Alligator mississippiensis: one gene and its partners. The protein of the gene in region 3 purifies or fractionates together with the protein of the main gene of each other region. This does not show direct contact. Links are inferred from orthologs where the notes say so. Each region holds a gene or a part of one and is shown on either strand. Other genes may lie near its edges.

What was found.
Region 1: the proteins of CLGN (region 3) and SLC12A6 purify together in Homo sapiens (affinity purification with mass spectrometry; 3 studies listed by BioGRID and IntAct, with this or other methods). This does not show direct contact. The link is inferred for Alligator mississippiensis from reciprocal best matches to the Homo sapiens genes CLGN and SLC12A6.
Region 2: the proteins of CLGN (region 3) and SLC30A1 purify together in Homo sapiens (co-immunoprecipitation; 3 studies listed by BioGRID and IntAct, with this or other methods). This does not show direct contact. The link is inferred for Alligator mississippiensis from reciprocal best matches to the Homo sapiens genes CLGN and SLC30A1.

Annotation. Positions count from the first base shown.
Region 1 is NC_081830.1:36,383,099-36,393,661, reverse strand, and holds the start of SLC12A6 (solute carrier family 12 member 6), read right to left. Parts: upstream 4,722-10,563; 5' UTR 4,585-4,721; intron 4,056-4,584; 5' UTR 3,154-4,055; coding exon 2,910-3,153; intron 1-2,909. Other genes in the region: NOP10 (H/ACA ribonucleoprotein complex subunit 3), read right to left, coding at 7,459-7,599, 8,079-8,132.
Region 2 is NC_081824.1:190,328,700-190,339,262, reverse strand, and holds the start of SLC30A1 (proton-coupled zinc antiporter SLC30A1), read right to left. Parts: upstream 5,242-10,563; 5' UTR 5,073-5,241; coding exon 4,472-5,072; intron 1,189-4,471; coding exon 287-1,188; 3' UTR 1-286. UniProt on the Homo sapiens protein: Zinc ion:proton antiporter that could function at the plasma membrane mediating zinc efflux from cells against its electrochemical gradient protecting them from intracellular zinc accumulation and toxicity.
Region 3 is NC_081825.1:104,595,085-104,605,647, reverse strand, and holds the start of CLGN (calmegin), read right to left. Parts: upstream 4,724-10,563; 5' UTR 4,634-4,723; exon of another isoform or gene 4,606-4,633; intron 1-4,605. UniProt on the Homo sapiens protein: Functions during spermatogenesis as a chaperone for a range of client proteins that are important for sperm adhesion onto the egg zona pellucida and for subsequent penetration of the zona pellucida.

The DNA.
Region 1 (10,563 bases), on a different chromosome or scaffold from region 3:
AAGTCTTTAAGGCCAGAAGGAACCACAAGATCTCCTAGTCTGATTGCCTCTAAAACAGAAGTCATCATGTTTCACCCCTATGCCAAGTCTACAGATTTAGAAAGACACTCACCTCTACTCAGGAGACTACAGTGTGTGCTCCAGACAAAGAATAGTGCCACCAATTCCAAAGCCCCTTTGAGAAGGCTGGAAATTAATCAGGGGAGATATGGAAGATAATCTTGGCAGAAGCGATTCACACCCTAGACTGCAAGGAAAGCTAAATACCTTTCCCAAAATGTTTTTCAATCTGCCATGGGGGAAAAAAAAAAAAGACTCCTTTCCACCCCAAAATGTGTCCCTGAGCAAGACAGCAAAGATAGGCATCACAGAACGTATTCTCTCCACCGCCTCAGCCCAATATCCCACATCCTACTGTAGCAGATCTACCTTTCCCTGAAGCAGTGGAAAGAAGGACATCCCCCCTCCAGAATTCAGAAGACCTCTATGCATGGTTGTGCATCAGGGGAAACAAATCCTTCATGATTCCTGCAGATGACTGGCCGAAGCCCCAATGCATGAGATAAGATTACAGGCACTATCTTAATGTATAACTGTGAGTGTTACAAGCACTGCAAATGTGCATCCCCACCTCTATGTGCATGGGGTGGGGGGACAGAATTAAGAAACCCACACAGGACAATCACTTAAAAAAGAGAATGCATTTGCACCCATGATGAGCAGATTGAGTTGGAGAATAACAACATCCACAAACCAATTAACTGTCCCTTCCTAACCCAAGGACAATCACCTTAGGCCCTTGATCACAAACATTGCAGAAAACTGTGACAAAGCTTTCAAAACAGGAAGTGGTGTGGTTAGACAGAGACAAGCAGACTGCATCAGGCTGAAGATCAGACTTTTGTAATGAGGCAGCCTCAGCAAAAAGCCGAGGGGGGGGGGGGGAGGAAGGGATGACAAGACAATAGGGCAAGGGAATGTAATACGTAAAAGCACAAAGGGCAACTTCTGCTCTCAGCCCAGCTGAACACTGAAAGGACACAGGCCTGACCACATTAGCCAATACCCTCCCTTCAAGTATACTGTGCAGCATTCAAAAGCTTGTCTAAGTCTACCCCAACCATGGAGTTGGTGCAATAATCAATATCCCCCACAAAAATCCCTGCCTCTCACATTTCCTAGTCACTAAGATGCCATTAGTCTGAACACAGGACTTCTCCTTTTGTGAGTTGATGACTCCAATTCAGTCCAGAAGTGGAAAACAAGAGCTAGTTCAAAAAGATGACAAATGAGGGGGCAGGGAAAGTATTGATTTGGATTGGGATATGGAACTTTCCCCTTTATGGGATGCTGGCTCCAACCTGGTCCCTGGGAAGTGAAAGTTACTGGTTCATAAGGCAAAAAATCATTTACAAAGTTCTTCTACTCTGGGAGAACTGACTGCAGCCCAACAGCAGAACTGGCTTGCTCAAGGAGAATAAGAAACAGCAAAAGACAGCTCAGTGTTACCATTGTCTCAGTCAGAGATGACCCTAGTGTTCCCTCTGTGGCACAAGGAAAAATGTGTAAATGAGGACCCAAATGCTTGTGACCACTGTAGAAGACCTCCTGACACTTCGGCCAGAGTGCCCCAGGTCTAAAGACCCACCTCTGCTTCCCCTAAATCCCACTTTACAGTTTCAATGCAACACAGAGTTCTCCTTTGCTTTCTTTCAGGTTTGCACCGGACAGGGCAGTAGCAGGTCAGCTTGGGTGCTAGACACAGCATAACCATGTCAGTGTGATGATCCATATCCCTGGTAGATGTACCCAAGGTAATGTGACTGGTAGACCAGTTGCCCTGCCTCATTCCTGATTTCCACATTTTGGAACTACCCGCATATAATGCTGCTGTTACGCTGCTGGCCCACCTAAGAAGACAGATGCATTTCATTGTACATATTCTTTAACACCAAAAAGAGGCACTCATCTACCTGCAGTATCATTATGGCAGCCACAGTGCCTAATTAAGAGACTCAGGATTAATAGCTAAAAAAAACCCCAACTCATAACTTTTATCTAAAAATCCCAATAGAAGCCATGACTCTTAGCAGCCAGTTATGGCTAGATTTTCAATAAAAAGGAAGTCAACACAGTTACAGGAAACGAGATTCCCCTAAGTCATTTCCCCCGGGCTTTATACAGCATTTCCCAATATAGGAAAAGAGTCTGAAGAAAAGCAGAACCAAGTTTAGCTGTTCAGAGTCAACACCACAAATGCACTGAAAATGCAGACTTCACATGGCTATTTCTATCTTCAAGCAGGGCGTCACCTCACTAATAAAACTGAAAAGCTCTAAGTGGGCACCCATTCCCAGGAAACACAAACACAGTGCCAGCCTGGCCTTTAATGCAAGTATTTTGCTCTTCCATGATATTCCAGGAGTTTCCATGTGGCCAGAAGATCTGGTGAGATGCCACTACCTATGGAGAACAGTCATAGCAACATACCATCCACCCTAAATGTGATCAACTCTAAAGCAGCCATCAGTTCAAATGGATACAACCCCAAAGCTCTGAAAGAGCTCACTGCATTTCCAACATACCAAGAAGTGGCCCTAGTGTAGCTGGAAGAGGTCTGCTATTTCCAAAGGGCCCACAAAATAACTAGCAAATGGATGTACTAAAGGTGGAGCTGTTGATCAATCTCCACTGCTATCATAAAACACATGCCTCCACTTCCAATGTATGCACAAACTGAGGTGGACAGATTCTACATCCCCACAGAACATCCTCCTTTACTGCTAATTAATACAGAAGCAGTCTCCCTCTAACGTCCAACAGAAGCCCAAGCCAACCCAGAAGCATTAATACCATCCATAACTTTCAGTCCCCTCATTCGCATACATCAACATCTACATCCTTCTTACCTTCTGTCACATCACGAGGGTTGGATATCTTATCACTAGCTGGATCAGCTGCTACCGTAGCCAGTGATGTAGTCGCTACAGAGAAGTCACTCATGCCCTCACTCCGGGTTGTCTCAGGAACACTCTCCCGGGAGCTGAAGCGAACCCGGGAGCTAGAGCGGGAGCTGAGGTCAGGGCTGGTATCAGAGAGGCCTGGGATGTCATCGATTTTCGTAGGGGTCACCATGAACCGGACAGAAGCCATTGTGTAGCTACTGTGTTGCTGTTGTTGGGAGGGTGGTGGAACAATCTAATACATTCCTGGAAATGTTAAAATTATGATCATCCAGAAATCTTAATAAATAAAAAAGAAGTGATAATTTAAGAAGGTAGCAAAATGAACTGCATAACAAGAAGTTCCACCATACAGCAAATGCATGTCTACCATGGATCTCCTGTGATCTGCTACTATGTGGTGTCCAGACACCTCTTGATTATCAAGTGAATTTTCCATGGGTGTGGCTAAGAAGGGAGTGCAGGGCTTGACCCATGGTTTACCCAGTAAATCAATCAACAGCTATCTGATTCACTCAGTGAGCTGTTTGTCAGAGTTCCTGATTTGAAACTGTTTGCACAGATAATCCGTTACTATTACTACTCTGCAGACTTCCAGTGCCAAAACAGGCAAGAAGAAACTTTCACGTCCTGATGCAAATAATTATTTTTTGGGTAAATATCCAAAAAGGGATTTGGTTTGAAGAGGGGTCCATTGGTTAGAAACATGTGAAAGTGCAAAAAAAGACAAGAGGTTTCACCAAGTCCTGGTGCAAAATGTGCGAAGAGACCAAGCAAACCAAGTGATCCGAGCACGAGGAGGAGAATCACTGACCGATTTCTGGTGTGGCGAGCAAGGACAGCGAGTACGCCAGCAGGTCCCAAAGAGCACTCTGTGCTAATACACCTTGCACTTTGGATGCACCAAAAAAGTGTGCTGGAAGGTTGAATATCCCAAGTCCTGGAGTAGGACTGCCACCATCCCTCAGGGCTCTGGCAGCTGAATATCCTCCCGCCGGGCAAAAACTCTTCCACGCAATGCCCACGAGGTCCCCGTGACTCAACGATGCTCCAGTTCCACCAGCTCCCAAGGTTAACACAGCTGGATTTTCCCTAGGGTCATGGGACAAGAAGGTTGCTATTAAAGAGCGCTCGGTCCAAGGAGACACCAGACAAGGCCTCACCCACACTAGCCCACAGTATTGGGATGTGCACGCCCCCTCCAAGCTCAGTGCCATTGCTACAGCAAACTGGGGCAGCCCAAGGATCGCCAAGCCAAGCCAAGCCAAACCAAACCAAGCAAGGGTCAAGGTGGCAGGGCAGGGGGGTGGGGCAGCATTAAGCCTGGGGCCAACACTGCCCTGCCATGCGGACCTGCTGCAGGGGCCAGACAGTGGTGGCAAGGGGATCCATGGCAGCACATGGCCTTGCAAGGGATGCCGCAGCTGCTGCTCTGTAATGGGGAGAGACAGGCACCTGCCATTGAGACGGGGCGACAAGTTGCGCATGCGCAGCCTGCCACTAAATTAGGGGAACGGGAGGGGGTGAGAACGCTCAGCTGCGCATGCGCACCAACCCTGTACCCGTGAATAGGGCCCCCCAAAAAAGGCGGGAAAGGCTGTTAGGGGCCGCGGTCGTTTACCTTGGACCGGCGTCTGCTCCCGGAGGCCGCGCCCGGGGAGGAGGGAGAAGAAGAGGCTGCCAGGTGCAAGGGCTCTGGGGCTGGAAGAGTCGCACTTCACCCTCCCGCCCGCCACGGCGCATGCGCACGCGCAGGCACCGGCTCGGCGGGGCGGGGCGGGGCAGGCCGCGGGGGCCGCTGGGAGTTGTAGTTCGTGACCGGAAGGACTCATGATGTCTTCTAGCCTCCCATTGAGGTCAGCCTCAGCAGGAAGAGCGATGACGTAGAGGAGTGGGGAGCAATGAGGGATAGGGGCGCAGCTCAGCGCCCTTCCCTTCATGATCCCGGGGCAGAAGGCTGTGTGTGGCACCTGGCCAAGGCCCTGGGGCCTCCGTGTCAGACCAGTGGTCCTGTGTCCTGCAGAGCTTGGCTGTCCCTGCTCTGTGTCCACCTGCTCTGACAAAGACCAAAGGCCAAAGGCTCTGACAAAGAGTCCTGGGACTCTTCTGAGGCGACAGCTGATATTTGCACTTGCAAACCAGGCACCTGCCTGTCCGCCTCCCTGGGCCCGGCTGAGTCCTGGGTGCTGGTGCCTGCGCAGCAGGCCCAGGATTTCTCAGTGGTTCGGGTTAATGAACATCCCCATCTTTGTGGCCTCTCTGTATAAATTATGACACTAGTGACTCCCTCTTTGGCACAGATCTGACAGTGCTGGGCTCTTTAAGAGGCCTCTGGGTGGTAGGCACAGCCCAAACTTTCAGTGACCTTTATCCATCACATACTTCAGTGAAAGTATGCTGAACTCTCTGCTGTCTCTGAAATGAGTAGAGCTGATTTGCAGCTAAAAGGAAAAGATAGAAGTGGGAAGAAGGATTATAATTGCATTCCAAGCTGTGGTAGGGAAGCAGTATCTAGTTAGTAGTTACTGCTGGGGTCCAGAAGTCATGACTCCTAGGCTGCAGCCCATGCTGTGGGATGAGCCTCTGACGTCAGGGCAGGGACCTGGGAGGGCACACCTAGATTTTATGGCTGGCTCTAGCAGGGGAGTAATATCTAGTGGTTAAAGCAGCAACAGGACAGCTGACTGGGTTCTGTTCCAAACTCTGCCCATACAACATTCTTTCATCAGCCACAAATGAATGGACATTGATTCAGTAAACTCCGATTTAATCTCTCTCAGTGCTGCATAAAATGGCCTTTTCAGCCATTTCTAATCCCAGGTTAAAGGGAAAACGCGGAAATAAAAACCAACCTACGTGTTATAGCAATGAGTACAGAAGCCTCAAGTGCTGGCAGTCCCAAATAGGTCACAGCAAACAGAGGTGTTAACAAGGCAGCCCTGCACTTTTGTTGGAGAGCCCCGAGGCCCCAAACTGCCCAGCGCTGGGTCTCATGACATTCCTTCTCCGGGTAGACTGATCCCAAAAGCAGTCCAGTCTGAATCAGTGATTAGTATGTGAGAAACAGGATAGTTTTAAGTGTGTTGAGATAGCTATGCAAAAGACAGGGATTTCTTAAGGTGAGATCTTTAATTGGTCCAATAAAAGATCTCACCCTAAGAAATCCTTGCCTTTCGCATAATTTCTGGACCATCACAGCTACATCACTCTTACACTTGAGATATCTAGGCAGGTGATAACACCAAGTGATGACTCCAGGTAAGAACAGCAGTCACAGGTCAGGACTCAGAGCTTCCTTGCTCCCTACGTGATTGGCCAAGACAGAGTTATCGCAGAGAAATGGGCAGGAATACAGAAATTTGAATCTGAGCTGTATAAAACTCCTCCACACAAAGGCATTTGTGTGGGAAACTGGAACTTGCTTCAACTATAAGGATGGATTCTGAGGGCCCTCAGAGCTCGCTGCTTAGTACTGAGTATATCTATGTATTTTCTGCTGCATATAGCCACTATTAGTAATTTTGATAGGTTGATAATATCCCAATAAACTGGTGCATCATTCAAAGGAACTTGCTTTGGGTTGTCTTATATTTCTCTGGATAAACAAGAGCCCCCAGAGTTATCATGGGTGTGACACCTTGGGCACCAGCAACGCACAAGTCAAAGACAGCGGCTAGGCTGCTGGTGGCATGGCGGGCCAGCATCTGTGGTAAGTATTATTTCTGCACTCCTTAAGTGGGTGCTTTAGTTACACTACTGATGCCAGTCCTGAATGCCAAGCTAAGCAGCTGAGTGGTGCAGTGCTGGGATACTAGCATTCAGTATCTTTCCCTCTCAAATTGAGCAGCAGAGACTCAAGCTTATTCTCTTCCATCAAGCTTGCAGTCTCCTCTCTTTCACTTTGTAGAATCTTCCCCACCTTTCCTGCCATGCGGCCCAACCACCTGATCCCATATCAGACCCTGAATGCAGCTTTCCCCCACATCTAATAAAGGCCATCTCACATTTCTAATATGATGAATATGCTTCCCTACTAAAACAATGAAAGCTTAGTCAGAAACCTTCCCTTGTTATGCTTAAGTTCCTAACACAACATGAACATCTGCACAGCATGAAACAAATGAGTACAGCTTCACCACTACTAGAGGGTTAAAAGCTCAGCAGGGAAGGAGAGTCTGGGCTAAGGGTAGAAATAAACATCAGATAATTTATTGGCAATCAAAAGACAAACCATGTTTTCAACTACAGTGATTAACTCTGGCTTGATCAAAAGGGGAATCAAAGCAGTTTTTCCACAGACAAGAGGAGAATGGGGAAAGGTTTTAGGATGTGTTTAGGATCAGCAGTCAGATCACAAGGAGAGGGATAAACAAAGGAGTGGAAGATGAGTTGGTGCAGAGGGAGCCACTGAGCCAGCTTCAGCTGAGCAGGACTGTCCCATTTCAGGGCAGTCAGGGGCACGTTTCTGTGCTTCCAGCTGGGAAAAGGCCTGCCCTCACATAATGGGCCGCGGCTGCTGTGTCATGAGGACGCCAAAGCGCTTCTTGATGGTGACCCGGTGGCGGGAGTATTTGTCATCTGGGGAGAAGCGGGCAGGATGTGCAGAGGAAGTCACTTGGCCAGAGGGGCTTACTTTCTACAGGGAAGGAAATGGAAAGAGATGATATCATACCAGGTCACGGCAACTGGGTCCTAAAATACAAATACCCAAGTCTGGCCACCCTGACGTCCCCACCCCCCACGGCTCCACTTTTGTGCTTCACTCACTGCCACCTCCTCTCCCAGCTCTGAGCCTCCACCCAGGTGGCGAGGGCATGTCACTCAACCCCCAACTCGCTGCCCCCCCAAGCCCTGAGCTCCACGGGCACAACTCTGCCATGACTACTCAATCCTGACCCCCAGGTCCCACCCCAGCCCTGGGGCACAACCCCCCTGCCCCACCTGCCCTGGGCTGTCCCACTGCCTGCCTCCCCCGACCAGGGGGATGCAAACCTGCACCCAGGGGCAGAGCGACACACGGCCCCGGCTGCACAGGACGTGCGCGGGAGGCTGGAAGAGATCTTGGGGCAGATAAGGGAAGGCGAGAAAGGTCCCGGGGCTGCGGCAGGGGCTCACCTTGAGGGTGTACACCCGGTCCCCCTGCTCGTTGAGATAGTACTGCAGGAACATGGCTCCGGCTCCGACCCGGCCCCAGATCGCAGCCGCACACGTGCTCCCAGCGCGCCCGCTCCCGCGACTGCCAGCGGGGACCGCCCCGGCGCACGGGGGGGGCGGGAGCTGCGGCCGCCTCTCCTTCCCCTCCCCGGGCACTCTGGGACTTGTAGGAGACGCCGGTCCCGGGCAGCCCGCCCAGCGCCCCGTTTCTGCCTCAGCCTCTGGAAATACGTTGTGCTTGGCCAGGAAATGAACACGCCAAACCAAGCTGCAGGTCCTCCAAACGCGGGACTTGATCTGCTTGCCGAGGGTTTCTCCAGGGCCTGAGGTCTTGGTTGTAGCCGTGTTGGTCTAAGGAGCTAGGCGGGTCCTGCCCTTTGTCTTCCAAATTTCCAGCTCTTTCCTTTTGTACAGACAGCCTCTTTTCTGCCTTGTATGACTGCAGTCTCCCTTATTCCCCTTTGGCTCCTTTACTATTGCTTCCATCCAGGAAGAGCACACACCAACTGCAGATGCTTCCTCAGCCTGGCCAAGGGTAAACCTGAAAGCTTGCAAAGAAGAATTTTTCCAGTCAGTGGTGACAGACAGGTAGAGGGTGCATGGGGGTGCACGTGCCCCCCCGAGAGCGCAGGTGCACCCTCTGACAGGCTGTGCTCACCACTTCAGTGATGGGTGTGGGGGCAGGCCGGAGAGCAGGTACCCCCCTGAAAGCACCAGCCAATTGCTGCAGGCTGCAGCACAGCGATCGGCCATCACAGGAACGGCTCCGGGGGCCCCCCCGGTAGCGAGATCACCTTTGTGGAGGGGGGACTCCTCCCCCACCCCAAGTTGGTAGGACTGGTCGTAGGGTGGGGCACGTGCCCCCCCTCCACAAAGGTGGCACCAGTCGCCCATGTCTCCAACTATTTGAGCTGGTCTAATAAAAGATATCAGATTTACCCAAAGAACCTTGTCTGCCTGCGTCCTTAGACCAACATGGCTACAACCTACACCCCCTTACTCACCTTTGCCCCCCTCCCCCCACCCTTCCCTGCTTTACCTTTTATTTTCCTGATTTCTACCTATTTACGTTCTCACTGACATCCCGCCACACTTCTAGCTTCTCTCATTTCTTGGAGTCTCAGAACAGCAGAGACTTCCTATGCCTGAAGAAGGGTGATTGCACCTGAAAGCTTGCAATGAACTTTTCCCCAACTACTCAGTTGGTGTAATAAAAGATATCAAATCTACCCAAAGAGCCTTGCCTGTTCAAGGACCTGGGCAGGCAAGGTTCTTTGGGTCAATGTGATGTCTTTTATTAGATAAAAGACTGAGTAGTTAGAAAAAAGTTCTTTGCAAGCTTCTGGGCGCAATCACCCTTCTTCAGGCATAGGGAGACTCAGCTGTTGTTCTGAGATCTCTAAGGAATGAAAAAAGCTAAAAGTGCAACAGGAGGTCAGTGAGAATATAAATTAGATGTCGCTGTTGAGGTTAGCTTCTTTTTTCTTCATGTTGTGAAGTTTCCAGTTCAAATGGCAAAATTCGATATCTTCCATGTGCAGTTTCATCTCCTAAAATGCATGCGCTCTGGCTCCACACTTTGCTCTCTAGTCCGGAAACCTGAGGCTTTTTCCTCATGTTGACTCCCTAAATGCTCCAGGACTTTCAATGGCTCAGCTGTGCCCCTGCAGTCTGAGAATTGCAGCCTCTCAAGTCCCCCGTGTACCCTAGGGCATGTAGGTTCTTGTTCAACGTTGGATGGCAGCTGTAGATTCTGCTACCCACCTGTTTTGGGAGTTGTTTTCAGGCCATGATTCATTCTTGGAGGGGACAAAGCCATGTGAATAAGCCTGCTTTTTACAATTCCCTAATACAGTTGTAAATCTCTAATACCCTAGTGCAACACAGGAGTTGTAGCCTCCTAAACCCTGGTTGCCTGCCAGTAATGATTTTGATACTGCCATTTCCATTCAGCCATTTTGCTTTAGCGTACCCTAAATTGAACCATTGAATGCAATTTGGGGAGCATCTTGGTTATTCCTACATTGTTCCTAAAAACCCTGGAGTGAGGGACTGAGAGTTCTTTGTGTATGGGGAGTGCAAAGCTGGTTAGCGGTGAGGAGCCCTGGCACACCTGGGAATGTGTGAAGCCCATGCCTGGAAGGGCAGAGGGCCTCCAGGATGGGACTGGGGCATCTACAGAGCTTGGAGAGGAGGGAAGAACTGCGATTAGTCTCTGACTGCGCACACCACGCCCGACTCAGAACCCGCATACCCCCAGATTCCAGATTTGTTTTGATTCAACCTTCCTGCTGGGACCTGGGATACCAACCTGGGATAGCCTTGATCCTTCTCAGACTTACTCCTTAGCTGGTGCCCCTGACGCCCCTGTACACTCCACCATGTCATCCCCCCCTGCACACAAAGGACCTGCATTCCCTGCCCACCTTTGCGTGGTTCTCAACAC
Region 2 (10,563 bases), on a different chromosome or scaffold from region 3:
TCTGAAGTGCAACAAAAAGTGTCGTCTCGGCTGAAATGGCATTCTGAAGTTGTTACAACATTGGTGCACTTTCTGACTCATTCACCACAGTCAACACAAGCATATCATGTCATGATACATGATCATGTTCCTTAAAACAAGTATTCTGGATTTAGCAAAGTGACAAGAATAGGGACATCAGCAAATACAAGTTTGCCAAGTAGTGTATCTCAGAACATCTGTCTCTTCTTCTTGCAACAATGCTGTGGGTGAAGCCATCAAAATATAAGCAGCACCACTTTGGGAATTATAAAGATGATTCAAACTGTTTGTTTTGGTCAGCATTTGCCTCTAGCCTAACAGCAGGTATACTCTCAGATTTAGTCCTCCTAGTTCTGCTGTGTGAAGAATCAGTGATGACTTCTGAACATGAAATACCAATTGTAGACGATTTTTCCATCTCCTTTTCAGCGCTGTTTTCTGATGTCCCACAACACTGCTTCAAAGCACATTGAGTTCTGCAGGGAAGCTCGCAATTGCCTACACCTGATTCAGAGCCTACACTGGCAAATTCAGGCTGAATGGTAGTAGCATGAATTCCTTCATCATGAAAAATCTCTTTAATGTGCTTAGCCACTTTCATGTATGATTCAGGGTCATGACATTTTATGTGAGCAGTGCCAATGATCCTGCTGCCTGCCAATTGCCAAACATGTAATTCATGGACTGCTTCAACTCCTTCAAGTGTATGCAGCTTCAGGCTCAAAGAACGAATATCTATTTGTTTTGGAACAGTTTGTAAAAGGATAAGGGCCGATTCCTTAAGTAACGGGTAAGTTGTGTAAAGGATTATGCACACCATCATCAGACAAAGAATGGGATCTAAATATAGTACCCAGCATGGACCAGCCACATGCTCCAAAGGGCTAACTGTGGAAAGTGATGGGGCTACAGTAGCATTTTCCGTACAATGGCTATTGATACAAGGATTAACACAGGGCCCATCTTTGGGACAAGGATTCCAAACGAAGTAAAATACTAAGGCATTCGCCACCACAATAACTGACCCCAATGCATCTCCAAGAACATGCAAAAAAACTCCACGCATGTTAAGTTGTCCACTAGTGTCTTCAACATCAATGTCCAGAGAGTGACGGCCAGCATTCCCATTCATTTGTAGGTCATCCTTGCCATCTTTCTCTATATCACCTGCAAAGAAAGCAGTGCAATGATTACACTATTTCACTACATCATTAAAATAAGGGTATTATAGACTGAACATTTATGAGTTCATGGCTTAACTTGCAATAAAATTTGGAAACTATGGTCCCAAAACAAACTATTGTAATGAAAAAACTGATTCTGTATGGATGTTTTAAATCCTCTGCCACTCATTTATAGATTATATCTTAGCAATTCAGTTTGGTCTGAATCTTACCCCTACTTTTTATATTATGTAAATATAAACTATGGAATTCATGATTGTGCTCAAGACCCAGAAAAGCACACATTTTGCACAGAAATTAAATACAATAAAAAAAGCTTTGAAAGCATTTTTTCTATTCAATGCCTGATGGAAGTCTACATGCACATTGCTTCATGAGTACTACTTATTTTGTTTTGAAGTCCATGGCAATGTTTCCCACAACTGAAAGAGAAACAGGTAGTTTCTCCATTTTGTAGCTAGAGGCATCTAATGGAGGAATTTCATGATACATCCCTATGTCTTGGGGGGGAGAGGAGGAGGTGTCCCTTGGAGCATGTACAACTGAATAAATGCAATGATCCAAACAGTATATGACCCACATACTTTAGAAGACAGATACATAAATGCATAAGGCTGGAACTCAGATCAGTTTAGTTCCAATAATTACAACCTATACCCCAGAAACCCAATTTGACTTTTAAGTTCCTGTCACATTCACTAGAAGAACATTCCCTTTATCACGGACAAATTATAGCAGAGTAAGTTGAAACGAGTTTCTTCAGGTCTTCAAAAAACTGAGGCTTAAAACCTTACTAGAGGCCGATCACCTTTAAGCATTTCAGGCAGAGATGCAGATATCTGGGCTATGCCTGCTCGAATACACTTAACAGGTGGCAGCCCTCTTCCCCCACTTCAAGAAAAACAGTCCATCTGCCTACGCCGTTTTCAGTCCTGGGATACAACCACTGGGTATCATTTCACCGTGTTTCCTTGTATATTGAAGCACTCTGGTCTGTAATATTTTGATATGGCTAACACATCAATGAGTCTAACTATGGCTAATTCTACCATTCACAAAAATAGACATAGGAACCAGTTCTCATTTGCAGTTCTCAATTTGGCATCCTTACTGAAGATTCCAGGACCGGCATAACACGGTATACCACCTATTTAAACTTTCACATATACTCCACTGCTTATCCTGCTACCTAAAACACTATTCTCTGCCAGAGGGGCAACCATGAGACATTTCAGGCTAACTTGTTAAGTTTTGAAGCTACCTACTTTAAAAAACAAAAAAAAACACACAGAAAAAACAACAACAAAAAAAAAACAACAACAACAAAAAACAAACAAATGAAAACAAACAAAAACACTTAATGGAAAATTAGTCACAACTCTAGCCAGGGTGCAACTCTAGTCCCTCTCTAATAGAAGTATTTGTCACACAGCCATGTCTCATTTAGACATCTTCCACCGGTTTAAAATCTTTTCAAACTAATTACTAGGATACTTACCTCGGAAGAGATGCAAAATTAAAGCGGCTTATTTCAGGGTCAGGTTAGGATCAGTACCATAATTTTCCTATACTTTCACAAAACTGATCTTTAGAAAACTAACACACAACACTATTTGGTAATGATCAGGTATTTTCTTTCTTGTTCTGGAAATCTCCAATAGAAAAAGTCCCTGCCATGTCTGGAAGAAAAGCACCATTAAAAAGACACCAAGTAGGCAAAGAAAGCAGAAAAGGAAGTTGCTCAATACGGAATGTAGATGAATGAATGGTACTAACAACTCTGTGAATCACTCACCTAGCTAATACAAAAATAGCAATTGTAGCCAAGTTTCCTGTACGTCTCCAACCCAGTTTGATCAGGATTGATGGTCTCCTTACATTATCCCAACACTGTAAGGCATCAGGGCTTCAACACCTATTTCTCCTTCAGGGTAGGAAGGCAGTACTGCCTAGTGGCAATGGGCAATTCACTTCTCTTGAACTCATTTGACAACTTGCTTTTGACCTTGACCAAGTGACTACACATCCTTGTATGGTCCCTGCCCCTGCAGCATTTGAATGGGTCCTAAGCATTTAACAAGATCATTTTCCTTTCAGAATCTGTGGAAGGAACAGCTTTAAACAACTTTGATGTTGTGTACATACACATACCTGTGTGTATGTGGATGTGAGAAAGTGTGCGTGTGTGTACATCTATCAATGTGCAAACCCATGCACACACAACACATAGCTAAGAAGAAACTTGGAAGCTTTATCTCTTGCAGAAGTAAGTTGTGCGGTCTGCATCCAGCTCCTGCCAGAGCTCTGTCTCCTGCACAGATGAGCTTCCCCGCAACTGGGGGACATCTTCTTGCTCCCCTGGAACAACACCCTGCCCACCGTGAACATGAGGGAAGTGGCAATTTCTCAAGTATGTAGCCAGTCCCAATCCCCAGGAGAGCCCTGAGTATCAGGACAGAGGTGCTGGGTTATATGCTGCCCAGCCTGGAGCCGGGTCACAGCACAGCAGGGCAGCAGTTTGGGATGTGCAAGGTGGCAGACAGCTGCCTCTTGCTCCAAGGGACTCCCCGCAAGACTTACAAATGCATCATGAAATCCTCAGTGCCTCCAGCTACAAAATGGAGAAACCACCTGTTTCTCTTTACCTTTACAAAGCTCTTTGAAACTCGGGGGGGGGAGACAACCCTTAAAAAAAAAAACAAAAAAAACCCTGCTAGGTGAGGTCACACGAAGAAAAACCACTAGGCAAAGGGCGACAAGGTTCTTTAGGTAAATCCGATATCTTTTATTAGACCAACTCAAATAGCTGGAAAAAATCTTCTTAGTGACCTTTTGGGTACAAACACCCTTCGTCAGGCTGAAGAAGCATCTGCAGTTGGTGTATGTTCTTCCTACACCCCACTAGGCAAAGGGCACATTTACCCGCACCCACCAGGGGTCTTTTGCCCTCTTCCCGCCAGTGCCTGGGCAAGCTCCAGAAGTGCTGGGATGCTCCGGGACATCATTGGTCCCCTTCCCAGGGCCATGTGAACCCTTTAGCAGGACCTCAGCAAACGAACTTGTGCACCCCAACTTGATTGTCACTCAACAATCATAATGTGTAAGAGACCCACAACCAGGCCACTTCTTCACTTAGTGGCCTAGGCATGTGCCTGGCTTGCCTGTACATTAACCCAGCCCCTGCCAGCAAGTGTGGGGAGGGGACAGGAGAGGGCCTCTCCCCTGTCCCCCAAGGGGGTGCAGCCCCCAGCTCCGTTGGGACTCACCCAGCTGCTCCTGGCTGAGCCCGTTGGGGCCGCTGTAGTTGTCCACCAGCATGTTGGTCTCCTCCTTGTGCAGGGCAGCATCGCCCTCACCAGGGCAACGCTGCAGCTTGGCGCGTGGCGGTGGCGGGGCAGCGCCGTGCGCATGGCCGTGGCTGTGGCCATGTCCGTGCTGGTGGAAGAGGCAGAGCCCCAGCAGGTTGATGATCAGCCCGGCCACGCCGGCCACCAGCACGACGAGGGGCTGCTGGATCTCGTGTGGCTCAGTGAAGCGCTCGATGGCCTCGAGCAGGATGGTGAAGCAGAGCGCCGTGAGGAAGACAGCGTTGACCAGCGCGCCCATCACCTCGGCGCGCACCCAGCCGAATGTGTTCTTCTTGGTGGCGCGGGTGCGCTGCGCGAAGCGCACGGCCACCAGCGCCACCACCAGCGCCATCACGTCCGACAGCATGTGGAAGGAGTCGGACAGCATGGCCAGCGACGCCGTCAGCCGGCTCACCACCACCTCCATCACGAAGAACACGAACGTCAGCGCCAGCATGCACAGCAGCCGCGCCCGCCGGCACCGCGGCCGCCGCAGCTCGCCCGCGCCGCTGCCCGCCATCCCGCCCGGACGCCCGTTGGAGGCTGAGCAGAGCGGACCGGAGCGGCGGTTGGGCTGGGGCCGAACGCGGAATGCCGGTGCCGCCGCCCGCGCGCTCTGCAGACGGTTTGGAACCAAACTTTGCACCCGAGCCAGCTTACATCTTTTCCACACGGAACCCCAGCCCGCCCCGCGCGCTTCCCATTGGCTGCCCGGCCGGTCGCCGGGCGGAGCCCGCCTCCTACCATTGGCGGCCGGCCCCTCACGACAAGCCGGCGGCCGCGCCCTGCGCCGCCCGCCCATTGGAGGAACGGCGCTCCAGCGCCGGGGCCGCGCCGCCCATTGGCCCGCGCCCCTGTCGCTCCGCTTTCGGGGCCCGCCGCCGCGGCCCCGCCCCCGCGGGAGGCCGGTTTGCGGGACTGGTGCAAAAGGTAGTTAGGCGGGGGATGCCTCTCCTCGCGTGCAGCGCCCGCCCCGGCTCGGCCCAGTGTGGCGGGCTGTACTGCTTCCCCCCACCTCCCCGCCCGCTGCTCTCCGCCAGTCTCGCAGCGAAGCGGGCTGGCGGGGGCGGGGAGGGCTGAGCCTCCCTCCCTCCCCCCACCGCAAGGCTTTCGCTTCGTGTGCACGCCGCGCTGGCTGAGTGCAGCGGAGCGGGGCCCCACGCGTGACAGCCCTGCCCCGCCCCGCCGCTCGCGCGTGGGGGAGGGGCGCGTTCTAACCGCCAACGCGCGCAGCATCCCGGGGGGGCGGGGCACGGCTCAGGGTCGGGGGCACCATCCTGCCCCCTCCCTGGGGGTCTGGGGGCAGCAGCCTTTGCTCCCAGGTGGCTCCTGTGGTGACACCCCCACCGTGTCTCTGCGGGGCAGAGCAGCGCAAGCTTCCCTCTGCGGGGGTCCTAGGGGCCGTGGCTGGGTTTGCCCTGTGGAGCCTGTTGGCCCGCCCCCCCGGGGGTCCCAGCCCTCCTGCCTTTGAATCGCTGCTGGAAAGCTAAACCCTTCCCCAGGGAGGAAGAAGGAACTGGAGGAAAGCGTTCCCTGTTCACCCAGCGGGTAGGTTGCTAAGTCTTGCCCCTTTGATGCAACCTTGTGTTAGTTAAGGTTTCAGACCAGGCACATACCTCGCTTTGTGCTGTACACGCATTCCTGGAAAACGGCGTGTAACTCAAAGTCGCATAAAGGGAACCCACTTTACAGTATAACAAATAGGGATACGTTCCAAGATCTCGACTGTGCTGACCCCCAACCCCATTTCTACCACTTTTACAGGACAATTTTGGTACTCACTAACAGCAGACAGTACACATAAGCACAGGGCACTACCATAATGGGGATGGCAACTACAGAAACACATGTTGTAGACAACGAGCGAGGAGCACAGATCCACACAGGAGACTATATTTTGGTGCGCGTCGCTCCCACAATCCCACAATGTTGTCCCACCTGACAACAGCTGACTGCAGGCTTCCACCACAACAATCACATAAGAGTGAATTTACCTCGCATATAATGAATTTTTGGTATAAAAAGGGTCATCGCATAAAAGCGAATTCACATATACAAAACCCGCATAAAGCAAGGGAAACCTGTACACACTGGCCATGTCTACAGGAGATGCTTACTGTGCAGTAACTTGTTACTACTGCGCAGTAGTGTCATAGGGCACGAACTGTGACACAGCACCATTGTGCTGTGGGCATACCTACACATGCATTTATACTGGCTTAAATTTACTGCGTGGTAAGTGGGAATAGGCTGGCATGTACACATGCAGGCGTTAAAGCCTAAATTTAGTCCCAAGTCAGTCCACATGCACAGTGTTACTGCGCAGTAAGATGTCCAAATGTGCATTACTGCACAGTAACTAATCAGGTGTAAATTTGATACCCGCATCATGCAGTCATCAAATTTATGCCCAAGTCAGCGTAAGTCCCTAGATTTACTGCGCAGTACAGGCATGCACATGTAGACGCATGATCGTACTGTGCAGTAATCAAAATTACTGCGCATATGTAAACACACCCACTGGTCACATCTATATAAGACGCTGATTGCACAGTAGCTCATTACTACTGAGCAGTAGTGTCACAGGGCAGTCAACATCACCACAAAGTCATGCAGGGCTGCTACTCAGGGTTTGAATTACACTTTGACTCTTGTGTGGGGGTCTGGAAAATAAATTGGGCTGCCCATCAGATGCCCTAATAAAATCGAAGACCCCCAGGTTACGATTTTCAAATCTTACAGGGGAGCTCTCGTCTTTTATGGGGGGCCCCCCAAGCTCTCCCATAATTCAAACCCTGATGCTACTACGCAGTAGTTCCGGTTACTGCGCAGTCATTTAGTACTTGTGTATACAAGTACCAAATGACTGCACAGTCAGTTTCTTGTGTAGATGCAGCCACTGTGACTGCAGGTGTATCTGAGCTTGTATACCACAAGCAATGCAGCAGAACAGCCCACTCAAAGTAATTCACCCTGCTTTCATATCCAGACATCCAGGTACATCTACCCTGCATAGTTGGCAGCAGCAGCAGTCCCTCAATGCTCATCCACTAAATAAGGAAGTCATTGGTGAGTCAAAAGACAACTAAAGAGGCCAATCTGAGATCCACTTGTGTACACTGCATGGTACTGTGTAGAGATTGCAGAGACACTCAAACTAGCTCTCAACGAATTCTGCTGAGAAATCAAATTAAATTACCCAGAGTACTACATTTACCAGGCCTCACTTGGCTACTTCTGAATAGCATTGCGTCATGCGGTGTAGATATATCTGGATGTCTTGAAACAGAGGCTACTGCAGATGTTTGAAGACTTAACCAGAGGCAGACTGGAGGCTTGGACTCCATGAAACAGGCTGAAGACTTGGTTGCTATGGGGATCTGTCTGTTGGTCCCTGGTCACCATAATCATTCCTAAAATGCTGTCCCTACTTTACTCTTATTCTAGCTCTCTCTTTCATGCCTTAACTATTTTGTAATATTTTATTGTTTCTCCTGAATCAAGGAATTGAAAAGGAAAAATACATTATTGGTAATAATCCCCTGAGACATGGTTTTCATTATTTCACCCATCAGCAACTCTTCTAACCCACCAAGAAGACTGTTTGAGATCCTCAGCCAGAAGGAGCAAACAACCAAGCCCCATCAGGTACCAGATACGTTTACTAGTCCTCCACCTGCCAGATCCAAAGACTAAATCCTACACAGGCTGAAGAAACTGTTCTATCCTTATCCTATCATAAGCTTAGATACCTGCTACTCCTTGTTGCAAACATCCTAGCATCATGGTTGGTGGAAACAGATTGCACTATTTAGGAAAATCATATGTTGACTCACTAGCCAACTATGCTGAAAAAATTGGGAGGAAAAATGTGTAGAAGGGACAGTCTTGGAAAGAAACAAAATTCAGTTCCCATGGCCATTCAGTGTTGGCCTTTCTATTGGGACTTCACAAGTGTGCATGTTATAGTGCACGGTCTCCAAAATGTAAGAAATAAACTGATACTTAAATCCAACCTCTTCTGATAATTCATTCCACAGACAGCAGTCCTCCACGGATCTTGTTTCTGTCCCTTCAAAATTTCACCCTGTTCCACTGCCCCAAAGGACTATAGGTTCTTGGGTAGTTCATAAATGAAGAGATGATTTGTCCCAGAACCCTTTCAACAGTTAGGACTAATGCTTTGAATTGACATTGGAAGTAAAATAGGAGCCAATTCAGAGAAGGAATCCAGAGAATCTTTAACCTTTTCAAGTTGCATTATGAATCACCTGGAATGTCAGTGTTCCATCCTCATTTAGTTCTACGCTCAGAGGGGTGGTTTCCTGGAAAGCTGGAGGTGGAAGGAGGAACTTCTTGCTATTGTTTTTATTTGACTCTGTGTGCCAACAACCTAACTATGAGTATTATGCTTAGATAGATTAATATAACCATCCCGAATTCTCTTTTGCTTGGAAGGACCAGGAATGAACAAGCATTTCCAAATAAAATCACATTAACCTTACATGTCTGAGATCCTCCCTCAACCCCAGTCCAGTTATCCACCCCCAATTCAGGCAACATCATTACTGTTATTGTACCTTTACCCAGACTGTTCAGAGAGTATGGATTCCATTACACTAACCTATATTCATTTTGCTAGACCCTACAACATCATTATTGTGATTGTTACTGTGACAGTGAATCAAGCAGCCAACCATGAACTTCAAATTCTGTAATAAAATTATTTTTCCATTTGTTGACCCACTCTAGATTGTATTTTTGTGGTGCATGGGTTTTTGTGTGGGCCCTGCGTCTTGAGATGAATTTATCATTGAAGGAGAAAGTAATAGATGAGCTCCAGAGATGACTTCCTGTCTCACCTGGCAAATTTTCAGAATCCAAAAGAAAACAAACATAGCAGTGCAGTGCGAGGAAGAACATGTCAAGGAATAAAATATTCCTTGAGTTATAGTGCAAGATGAAGGAGGGACTTGAAACTGACTCAAGAAGGATGTACACAGAGGTAGTAGAAACATCTAGAAAACAAAATACAGGCATAAGCTGGAAAGAAAAAACAAGAGGAAGATGGGTCTGAGTCTATGGGTGGAGATACCAAAGGCATCATTATATAAAGAAGTGGGGCCCAACCTTTTTGACAGGTGCATCACAAATTAGCCCTCTGCCCTCCCTAAGTGCCACTCCAATCCCCTTCCTATGCCTGCTTTGCTGTTCTGCTGTCTGCCTTCTGCCCCATGCTCCCTGCATGACCTTCTGCTCTGCTTTCTGCTTCCTACTTCTATGTGTCACTGTGCTGCCTGTCCACTCCCCAATCTGCTGCATGCCACACAAATGGGATGCCCTGGCCCCTGGTGGCCTTTGTGCCACTGGTTGGCCACTCCTGACATAAAGGATCTATCAGATAGATAGTGATGGCAAGCCAGGACCATTTCATTAGTAAGATAGTTGTGCTTTCATGAAAAAGGATTATCAGGCAGCATAATCAAACCTTGGAGTTAGCACTAGTTTCAACCAGCTCTAGATAAGCTCTTCATAATCTAGTGATTTATTATCTATGTCTGCCAGATTTCTCTGATCAACACATCCATCCAATATGTTCTCACACTCCCTCCCACTAGATCATCATCTTCCTTGTAACCCAGACTGTTCAGGCAATATGGATTCCATTACACTAACCTAGATTCATTTTTCTGGACCCCACATTCCATATGACTGTTTAAAAAAATCTAGGTCTGCTATTTTGTTAATTGTTCAGCTGCAGGAAACTGCACGGAATGCTTTAATGAGCATCTAAAGAGACTATAACAATATAGAGAGACAATGTAATAGAGTCAGTAATTACACTACTGTAAAGCTCTTCCAACCACCCCACCTCCTTTATACCAGAATATGATTTAATAATACATTCTGCACAATCAGGAAACTGGAAACCAATTATACTGACATGGAACATGTCTATGTCCCCTCACTTTTCCCCACCCTCCACAATAAAGCATGTTAATAAGCAAGTA
Region 3 (10,563 bases):
GACTGCATCCTCTGCCAGTCTGCAGATGACACCAAGCTGGAGGGAATAGTAGATATACTGGAGCGTAGAGCTAGGATTCAGAGTGATCTAGACAAATTGGAGGATTGGGCCAAAAGGAATCCCACGAGGTTCAACAAGGACAAGTGCAAAGTCCTGCACTTAGGATGGAACAATCCCATGCACCGGTACAGGTTGGAGGCTGACTCACTTGGCAGCAGCTCTGCAGAAAAGCCCCTGGGGGTTACAGTGGACAATAAGCTGAATATGAGCCAGCAGTGTGCCCTTGTTGCCAAAAAGACTAACAGCAAAATGGGCTGCATTGATAGATGTGTTGCCAGAAGGTCAAGGTAAGTGATTATTTCCCTCTATTCAGCACAGGTGAGGCCACATCTGGAGTACTGTGTTTAGTTTTGGATCCCCCACTTCAAAAAGGATGTGGACAAATTGGAGAGTCCAGTGGACAGCAACAAAAATGGTGAGGGGGCTGAAGGACATGACTTATGAGGAAAGGCTGGGAGAACTGGGCTTATTTAGTCTAAAGAAAAGGAGACTTAATAGCAGCCTTCAACTACCTGAAAGGGGGTTTGAAAAAGGATGGAGCTAGACTGTTTTAAATGGTGGCAGACAACAGAGCAAGGAGCAATGGTCTCAAGTTGCAGCAAGGGAAGTTGAGATTAGATATTAGGAAGAATTTTCTCACTAGAAGAGTAGTAAAACACTGGAACAGGTTACCCACAGAGGTGGTAGAAGCTCCATCCTTGGAGGTTCTCAAAACCCAGCTAGACAAAGCTTTGGCTGGGATGATCTAGTTGGGGGAGGCCCTGCTTTGAGCAGAGGGTTGGATTAGATGACTTCCTGAGGTCCCTTCCAACCCTAACTTTCTGTGTTTCTATGATTCTAAATGGAAGTGGGGGTAAGGCATTGGGGGGTGGAGGCGGCCAGCAGGAAGGCAGGCATAAGGGGAGCAGGGGGAGACAAGTGGTGTGGGGCAGGCTGCTTGCCCTCCCCCCCCACTTTTCCTGTAACGCTGGTGGTCGTGGGGTGAATTTAAGAGGACACTCCAATAACTAGATTCTAGACATGAAGAATTAAAACAATTTTTTCCATGTCTAGAATCTAATAACTGTGGGAGGGGGTGGTGGTCTTAAATTTGCAGTCTTGGGCTTGGTAAATACAGAATGATTCTTTATGTTTCACTTTTGTGTAACCTGATAATTGAGGGTCTGGGTAGCTAAGAAGGGAAGAGAAGGGAAGCTACTCCTGTTCCCAGTGCTTTCTATGCATTTTATTCAACATCTATTTCCTGTAAATATGCAGTGAGGGCCAGAACAAAGTACCATTTCCTACACAATACTGTCCATCTCGCAGAGCCAGACACTCTTGGCTTTACCTAGCCCATGGATTAGTGGTTATGTTAAAGATACTGAGAAGGGCCTAGAACTAGAAGAACTGGAGCCTCCTACTCCCTTGAGAAGTGCATGAACCACTAAGCTACTGGACTAAAAAAGAAGGCAGGCCCTCCTCAGTTGTCAAACAGTTGCTTGTTGCAATTTATCTGCAACTACCTTCCAGAGACTTTGATTGAGGAAGCCTATAATCCTGTTTGAGCAGAACTGGAACAGAGCATAAAGCCCCTACAGATGTTATATTTGCTGCATATCGTATGCAAACGTTGCATGACAAATCATAACATGCCAACTGGCCACACAATATTGCAGGATACTTCTGCACCACAAGATGTTTCTGCTTCAACAGCCAACTTCTTTGTTGCCGATTCACCAATTTTATGCAAGGATAAACCTGGCACATTATAATTTGTTGTGCAATACTGTACATAACACGTGACAAAAGTAACGTCAGTCATGGGTCTAAGTGGTTAAACCACGGGGCAGACTCAGAAGGACAGTGAGTTGTAGAGAGGACAGTAGGATCTAAGGCATACAAAAAACTAGAACTCTTGGTTCCAAAATGATACCTTTTATTAGACCAACTGGAAAATGGAAAGAAAACTGTCCTTTTCTGCAAGCTTTTGGGATCAAAGTCCCTTTGTCAGGATCTGGAAAAAGTACACCCCTGAAAAGTACATGCTCCAGGAGGCAGGGTGCTTTAATTAGAATGGCTCCAAGAGCCGCTCTAATCAAAGCTCCCGGATCACAACATGCATCAGCATCTCTGTGCTTAAAATGGCAGTGAGGGCACTTCAACTAAAGCTTGTCTTAAAGCTTTAGTTAAAGCACCCCACTGCCATTTTTCCATGCGAGGACACTGATACACATGATGCTGGAGTCTACTGGAGCACGGTAATTACCACACTTCAGCAGACTCAATTAATCGAGTCTGCCCCAAACGCACTGTAATTACAACACATCAGAGCAGCCTTAATGCACATGTATAGGTGCCCTAACATTCTACACAAGCAGCCCTAAACATTATTTTTATGGTTAACTTCAGCTTTGGACGCATTATTTACCCACCTAACAGGAAGTGAAACTTGGATTTTTGTTTTAGATTACATTTATACTTACAGTAAACTTGCTCTGGCTAACAAAAGCTTTAAGAGAAAACTATGAACCTATCCAGACAACTTGACTGAACTAATCTCACCTAGATAAGAGCAAATTCTAATGGAAAGCAGGGCAACTCCTACAGTTCTCTTCTCTAGAGTGGGTCCCTAGGATACATCTATACCACCTCCAAAGCAATCCCAAGAGTATCAGTGAGAAATAAGCCATACTTACCTATGCCCAGTATATATACATGCAAGCCCATAAATTACGTAGCACAGATGCCTCAGAAATAGTCCTAAGCACAAGTCCCAGCACCATACTCAGGCTGTTTTAAGAAGGTCTAAGTGTGGCACTATGGCATATGCTCAGGGCCACTCCTGAGCCATGTATGTGACACAGTTTGTGGGCTTGGGTGCACACAGGGCAGCGACCATGCTCACTGTTAAAGCAGCACAGAAATACCATTAAACCCTAGTATCCTTCAACCCTCAGTTTACAAGACTGCTAGCATTGTCCTTTTTTAGCTGAGCAGCTAAACAAAATGTGGGCCTTGTTAATTATTCCAATGAGGTGTAGTGATTGGTAGCAGAATCAGGTTTCTTTCATGTACTTCTATTTACAAGAATGCAATCAAATCTTTTCCAAGCACAGGAAAAAAAAATCCAAACCACCAGAGCCTTCTTGCTCACAGCTCTAAAACTCTTCCAGCCTACTCCCAAGCCCACAAGACCACTCTCTAGGGGTCTCCCAGGGTTACACACAATGCCCTTCAGACTACATCCACACTTCCTCCTTCCGTCTCGGCTTATGCACCAGCTCACTCTTACTCCACCTGAGCTTCCATCCATCCACTGGCACCTTCTCTTTGTTCCCAAATTAATACCCAGGAACAGCTACTTCACTGGCATTTCCCTTTCTGAGTGCCTGTGGCAGAAACACGTGCTTCACCTTCTCTTGCTGCAATCTCCAATGAAGAATGGAGTGAAACACTATGCTCCTTGTCAAGAAAAAACATGAGCTTTACTTCAGCACTGCCTGGTCTGGCAGCCCCTCTTCATGAGGCCAGCTCTGGTCACTGGGTTTCTAAAGCTGCACCACGGAAGCCCCCAAACTAAGCACAGACAGTCAAAAAGCCCGAGGCTGAATCAATTCAACTTTGCGGCTTAGCCTAAGCTGTGTAGGTTGAACTGATAAGCAGGTGAACAGACATTCACTTTTGATTCTGGAAATGCATCCACATGCCTGCAGTGTCCCAGGCCACAGGCTGGGGGGGGGCCTAAAGCATGCCTCCCTGCTCCACTGGAGCAGACAGCTTAGGCCAATGCTAGCCCGCCCACCCTGTGAGGTGGGGTTTGTGAGGGAGGTGCAGAGCACCCCAGGATGCTGGGGGACCATGAGTTAACTTGAATCTGGATAACAACAAGGATCCAACACTCGCACAAAGTGCTGGAATGAAGCAGAGCTTCTGGGCCCACCACAGACAAGCTCATCTGGAGGGCAAGGCATCAGGAGGATGCTAGAGCCAGGGCTCCTCCTCCCTCCCCGGGGGACGGATTGTATCTGATCTCATCGCTTAGCAGCGGGGACAGGAGAAGCGATGGGCTCGAATTAACCCTCTGCACTCCCCAGCCCACGAGAGCTGCTCCTCAGCCGGGAATTAGGGGGGTCCTGCTTATGCCCCTCACGAGAAGTAGCTAGTCACTGCTGAGCGCGAAGGCTCTTCCCACTATAGGGGCGGGGGGCGGAAGCGGGGGCCGGGTCCTGCGCGAGCCCCCACCGCGGGGGGGGGCGGGCTCAGAACGCTCAGGGCCGCGGCGTTCGAACTGCCCCAACGGCCGTGCCGCACACCAGCCCCCGCTTCAGGGGGGCGGGCTCACAACGCTCTGGGCCACCCCGTTCCAACGGCTCCCAACGGTCGCACCACGTAACCCCCGCCGAAGGGGAATGGGGAGAGGGAGGGGCGGCCGCCTCCCGCTGGGATTAAGGCCTCTACGCAAACGTCCCCGTGAGGGTGGTCCTCCTGCCTCTGCCCGCGTGCCCCTTTCACACGGCGTCGCGCCCCCTCCCCCCACCTCAGCCCGGGTCCGCGCGGATTTACCGGCGAACCAGTCCCGCAAGCCGCTCACTGGCAAAGCCCGGCTGCTTTTCCTCAGCGCGAACCGCGCATGCGCCACCTGTCCAAAGCTCCGAGGGATGCTGCAGCCGAGTAGCAGGTACTCTCTGTGGCGCGCGCGCGCCTCCCCACCCGAGCCAATCAGACGACTCGGTAGGGCGAAGCCGTAGCCAATCCGCCTCCGGCACTGACAGGCCGAGCGAATCGGAACGCAGGCGCACGGGGAGGTGGGAGAACTCGCGCCAATCAAAGGGCAGCGTGGCGTCTAGCCGCGGCCAATCGCGGCTCAGTCCGCAGCTGTCAGAACGCGAGGCGTGCTGAGCGAGCTAATTGTGGGCCGGCGTCTCTGCAAGCGCAGAGATTCAGTCAAGTTCTAGGCCAGGCTTGTTCAAGCCATTTTATTTGGCCCGAGGCGGCGGCGGGGCCGCGGCGAGGCGGGCAGGGCCGGCCCCAGCCGGCAGCAAAGAGAAGGGAGCTGCTTACCCCCGCGGGGCCGGGGGGATCCGCCCCATGCGGAGGCCAAGCAGCCGCCGTTGCCACTGCCGGCCCACGCCTGCCTCGTCACCCGCCCGCTTCAAGCCAGCCCCGCTGCCCTGCCCTGCCCTGCCCTGCCCCACAGCAAGGCGGCGCCTGCTCCCCCGACGAGCTCTTCCCCCCCCCCACCGCGCTGCTGCTCTCCGGCCCGGCCGCCAGCTCGCGAGGCCCTGAGGGGGCCGCTTCTCACGTGCTGCTGGGGACTGGAGGAACCCGGCCGGGTCTGCATCGGCCAGCAGAAGCGGTGGCGGAGCCGTGTACTGCTCGGGACGGGACGAGCCTGCGCCGGTCAGTCCCGAGCGGCACACGGCTCCACCACCGCTTCTGCTGGCCGATGCAGACCTGGCCGGCCTCCTCCTTGTGGTAAAAATACAGCATAATCTATACACCTTGCTTTTGTAATTGCTTATGCACTCCGCATGTTTTCACTCTCTCTTCCACACTTATCACTAAGACAAGTAGACTAACAATTGATTTACGAATAGAACTAAAATTCTGCAGACGGAGCCAGGAACGGATGCAATAAATAACTCCTTACAAGAGATAAGCGAAGAGTGACAGGGAAAAATGTTGATGCTAAGAAATTTTACCCTGACCGAAGGATGACCAGAGGAGCTTAAGAACTGCCCCTGGGAGGGGATTTAAGATGTAAATGAGACATGTATGTAAACCGTCATAGAACATGTAACTGCTAGACATACGATGCAAGACGTAATGCTAAGTCTGCCAATAATTGCACGATACGTTGAAATCTATTGTTTACCTTGGCTATAAAAAGAAGTTGCAGACACAATTTGTGGTCGACTCTGATTTGAGCTCAGCTCCTGGGTCAATCTGTTTGCAAACAATAAATCTGAAATTGGACCTAGCCTGTGTGTGTGACTCTCTCCTGGGGTGGATTGGACAAGCCTCCAGGGGCATGAAACTAGCCGTTTGTGCAACATCCTGTCCCCAGCAGCACATGGGAAGCTGGCTTCAGCTGCATGCTGCTTTTCCTGGCCGGTGCAGACCCGGTTCTGCCCAGGCCAGTCCTGCAGCACCATATCAACCCAGGCATGGCACTGGCAGGCCAGGCAGGCCCCAGGTTAACCCTGGCCTGGCCCCTGACTTCTCCAGCACCAGGTCAACCCGGTTGTAGCCAAGCGGCTCCTGCAGCACCATGTCAACCTGGGCACGCATGCCATATCAACCAGCACCATGTCAACCTCTGCAACTTCACTGGTGTCAAAGGTCACGTGACATCACTTCCTGATATGATACCACTTCCTGTGATGTCTTTGAATCTGGCTGGCCGGCCCACTGGGTGATAAAAAGTTTGTGAGCAGCCTCACATTCAAAACCCCCTGATCTAGGCTATGAATGGGCTGGACCCGCTATCGCTCCCTGCTTGGCCCTCAGGATTTCAATGAGTCCCCCTGCTGCAGGCTGCTGCCTGGGGGAAGCTCCACCTTACACCAGCGGGGCTCAGGCCTTCTACACTGGAGGCTTCCCCTTCCCCCCCCGCCCAATCAGGCTTGGGAACTGAGCAGCCCCCAGTTCAAAAAGGAACTGGTTGAGTGCAGTGCTTACCTCCTGGGACAGGCTGGGCACTGGGTGGGGGGAGGAAGGGGAGCAGCCAGGTAGGGACTGAGCCTGAATCTGAGCCTGCAATTTTATCTTATCACCTCACACCTTGCAGCACTCTTCAAAGGACCTCACAGCACCCCTGGGTGCCCCAGCCCCCTGGTTGAGAATCACCGTACTGCATTTGAGACCATCCTCAGGACACTTGACATGTGGGCCTCTACACCTTGAGGCTCGCTAGTTCTAGCTGAGTGCTCTTTGAGAGTCTCAAAGTGACACCACTTGAGGCACAGGTTAATCCAAGCCCACAGAACAGGACAGCCGGAGACATTCAAGATACAGATGGAATATGTAATTCGTTTTGCTTATTGTATAAAAAGATTTGGAAAGCAGAGGAATTTTGTAGTGGCCTGGGGGGAGTCTGTGTGGTGGTGTGCTGAGTGCCTTGTCACAAGTACAAATGCCTTAGGTCCTGGTCTGATGTACTTGTTAGGCCAAAATGTGTTAGGGCTGTGCTTGTAGACAATAAAACTGGCCAAATCTTTGCCACCGAACTAAGCCTGTGGTCTTTCTTTAAGGCAAGATTAGTGTTGAGATCTCCTGGCTGTGACTTGCAGACACTGCAGTTCCTGAGACTTCAATACTGAGAACATATCAATAACACCCACGAGGATGACAGCAACAGCGACACCAATAACCCCAGACAACACTGATTTCTAACACTATATTTCATTTTCTTGCTTAATATTCATGAAGCTTTTGATACATTTTGTGAAACTAAGGGAATTCCCAGCCTTAAACCTACTTAGAAAATTATTTAAGACCATTAGAATAATTGATAAAAACTGTTAACAGTAAAAACCATTGTAATGATGTAACTCTAGCAAATTGCATAAAACTTCAACTAGAACAACAAATTCCAAGAGGGAAGACTTTGGGGGAGACACCAGAACATGCATCTACCCTGCATGTCTATAAATAGTTTTTAATGATGAATCAATTTAGTTGTATGACTGTTATTACCCAGAACACTGTACATGAAACATGATGGAAATCATCAGTTTAGTAAAATTCACAGTAAAGAAGAAAGTGTGATTAAAAAGAACTGAAAGCAGCAATGAAAAACAAATATAAAGTAGCTGGGGAATTCAGATATTCAAGAATCCTAGTATTCAAGCCAAAAACCCTTGTACAAGCATGCACATTAGAATAAAACTTGTGGGCAGAGCTGAACATGCAAGGTAATAGATATGGAAAAGTGAAGATACCGGGTTTTGTGGTCTCCTTTAGGGAAAAATAAGAATGAGAATATTATAATGTGCTACAGTAGTTCATCCCAGCTTCTAAAGCAAAAGGTCCTAGCATTACACAGAAGTCAGGATCTAACAAAGAAGACAAGAACAAGAGGTGTGCTTGAGATACCAGGCTATGGACAAAGTCTGTAGTCAGATGCCAAGTCAAGTCTACAGCAAGAGACTGGAATGCAGGAGAGACAAAGCAGGGTCTGGTGTCAAGGACCAGAAACCAAGGGATCCTGGCAGGAAGCAAGGCAAGGCGATGCTAACAGGCCTGGAGCACTTACAGACAGAAATCTCAGTATGGTGTGTACTAAAGGGCAGGTGCTAGAGCAGTCCCTTAAATGAGGAACTGGAGCCCTAGAGTTTGCTAAAAAAAGGTTGTCTTGCAACCCACCAATGATAGCTAGCTTGTTAAATTGAGGAACAGAGATTTAACTATTAGAAGAAAATAAGTGACACTTGCCAGTTAACTTGAATCTGGATAACAACAAGGATCCAACACTTGCACAAAGTGCTGGAATGAAGCAGAGCTTCTCGGCCCACCACAGACAAGCTCATCTGGAGGGCAAGGCATCAGGAGGATGCTAGAGCCAGGGCTCCTTCACCCTGTGAAGAAGCAGAGTGAATTAGCCCACGTGGAGGTCTGTGCTGTTGCAGGTAGGTTGCTTCCAGAGCTAACTTTTGAAGCTAGATCAGGTATCTGTACCCTATGCCATGCGCAACCTAAACATACTACTGATATATTCTGTGGGTAAGAAAAAAAAGTCCCTTCAGATAAACTGAGGATCCATATTGACCCCGAATTACTGAACAGAGCATTGAAAAGATGTCTGTCACTACTCATTATCAAAAGATTGTGGATGTATTACCCTATTTGCACAGGATAAAAGCATTGCTTGTTTTGCCATTAAGAATTAGTCTTGGCTTATTAAGATAACTGAACAATCCAACCACTTAACATCTACCACATCTTTGGGCAGGAATACCTGTAAATAGCAGCCTGACCCTTGAGATGTTTCAGTAGAGAGACTAAGATGGGTACAGAAGGGAGATCCAGGCACCAATGTTATATGTAGTGATAGTCTCACTGTAGAAGGAGGTGACAATCCATGACAATGGAATGAAGCTGTGTCAACAGCTAAACAGGTGGTGGGAGTGGAATATTTAGCTTAAAAGAGACAAGATGAAGTTCAGGAGAACTGAGGTCCTCTACTTACAATATCTGTTGACTTCTGAAGGACTGCAGCCAGACCCTGAGAAACAGATCCATTAAGTAATTGCCCAGACCAAAGACTGTGAGGAGAGTCCAGCGATTTATAAGGAAAGACAGCTATCTTTTCAAATTCTGTGTGCATCTATTAGTGAATCCTTGAGACACTTAGGACAAAATGATGCACTAGAGAAGTGGTCAGTGGCCTGAGAGTAGGTATTTGAATGAGTTAAGAAAACCATGAACAAGTAAAGTCTTAAAGTACTACATCTCTACTGAGTAACTAAAGTTACAATGTGATGCCTTAGAAGGAAGCCTGAAAGTAGCAGTGATGCAAAGACAGCAGCCCATAGCATTTGGTGGTAGAGCCGTGAAAGATATCGGAAGAGGATGTATTCACATAGAAAAAGAATTACTGTTCGTGGTCTTTAGAATGGACTGATTGTATCAGCAAGCACAAGGTGAATGTAAAATCTGATCACATGCCATTCCTCACTGCTGAGTGCATGTTATTGAAACTCCAATCACGCACAATGAGGATAATCTACTGGTGAGAAAAATCACCGCTAAGAAATTCTAGGACATAGGGCATATTAGCACACTCATTAGAGTATTGGACATATCTAAAGACAACCATGGAGTAGTGGCAGACTCAGACAGACAGGACCATAGCTAGGACCAGGAGATAAAAAGCCTCAAGGCACATCCACTAGGGCTATATGAAGCTTCGGTAGTCGATTCGATTCGGAGGAGATTCGGCCCAATTCTATGGCCAAATCTCCAAATCCAAATCGAATTGGGAGACCCATTAAAAGCTCCAAATCGAATCGGAAGCTTCATTACCAATCCCTCCTTCGCTGTGGGGGTGTTGATGTGCCCCGCACCACGCCCCTTCCCCGCTTCGCCCACCTCAACAGACTTACCAGCTGAAGGCAGCTGTGTCCAGCATCCTTGAGGACTGCTGCCTGTTTAGTCTATGGCTGAATCTTCGGATCCAAATAAGCCAGATTGAATTGAGACAGTGATTCAAATCACCAAATCGAATCACTGTCCCTCTGAATTGGCCATATCCAAATCCGAATCGAATACTTGCTGCTTCGCACAGGCCTAATGTCCACATAACCACATTTGTGTGGTACTGCAGGCAGGATAATCCTAGGGGCTCCTAAACAGATGTAAAAAAAATACCAGCACTTTACTTTCGGCTTGGCATGCCCCCACACTGAGTGCAGCCTATGCCCAGAAGAGGCACTGCATCAGTTTGACCTGGCTCACCCAACATCTGTATAAATCACACACTTCAGCAGGGCTTTTTGGCATTTTTATCAAATAGCTGAT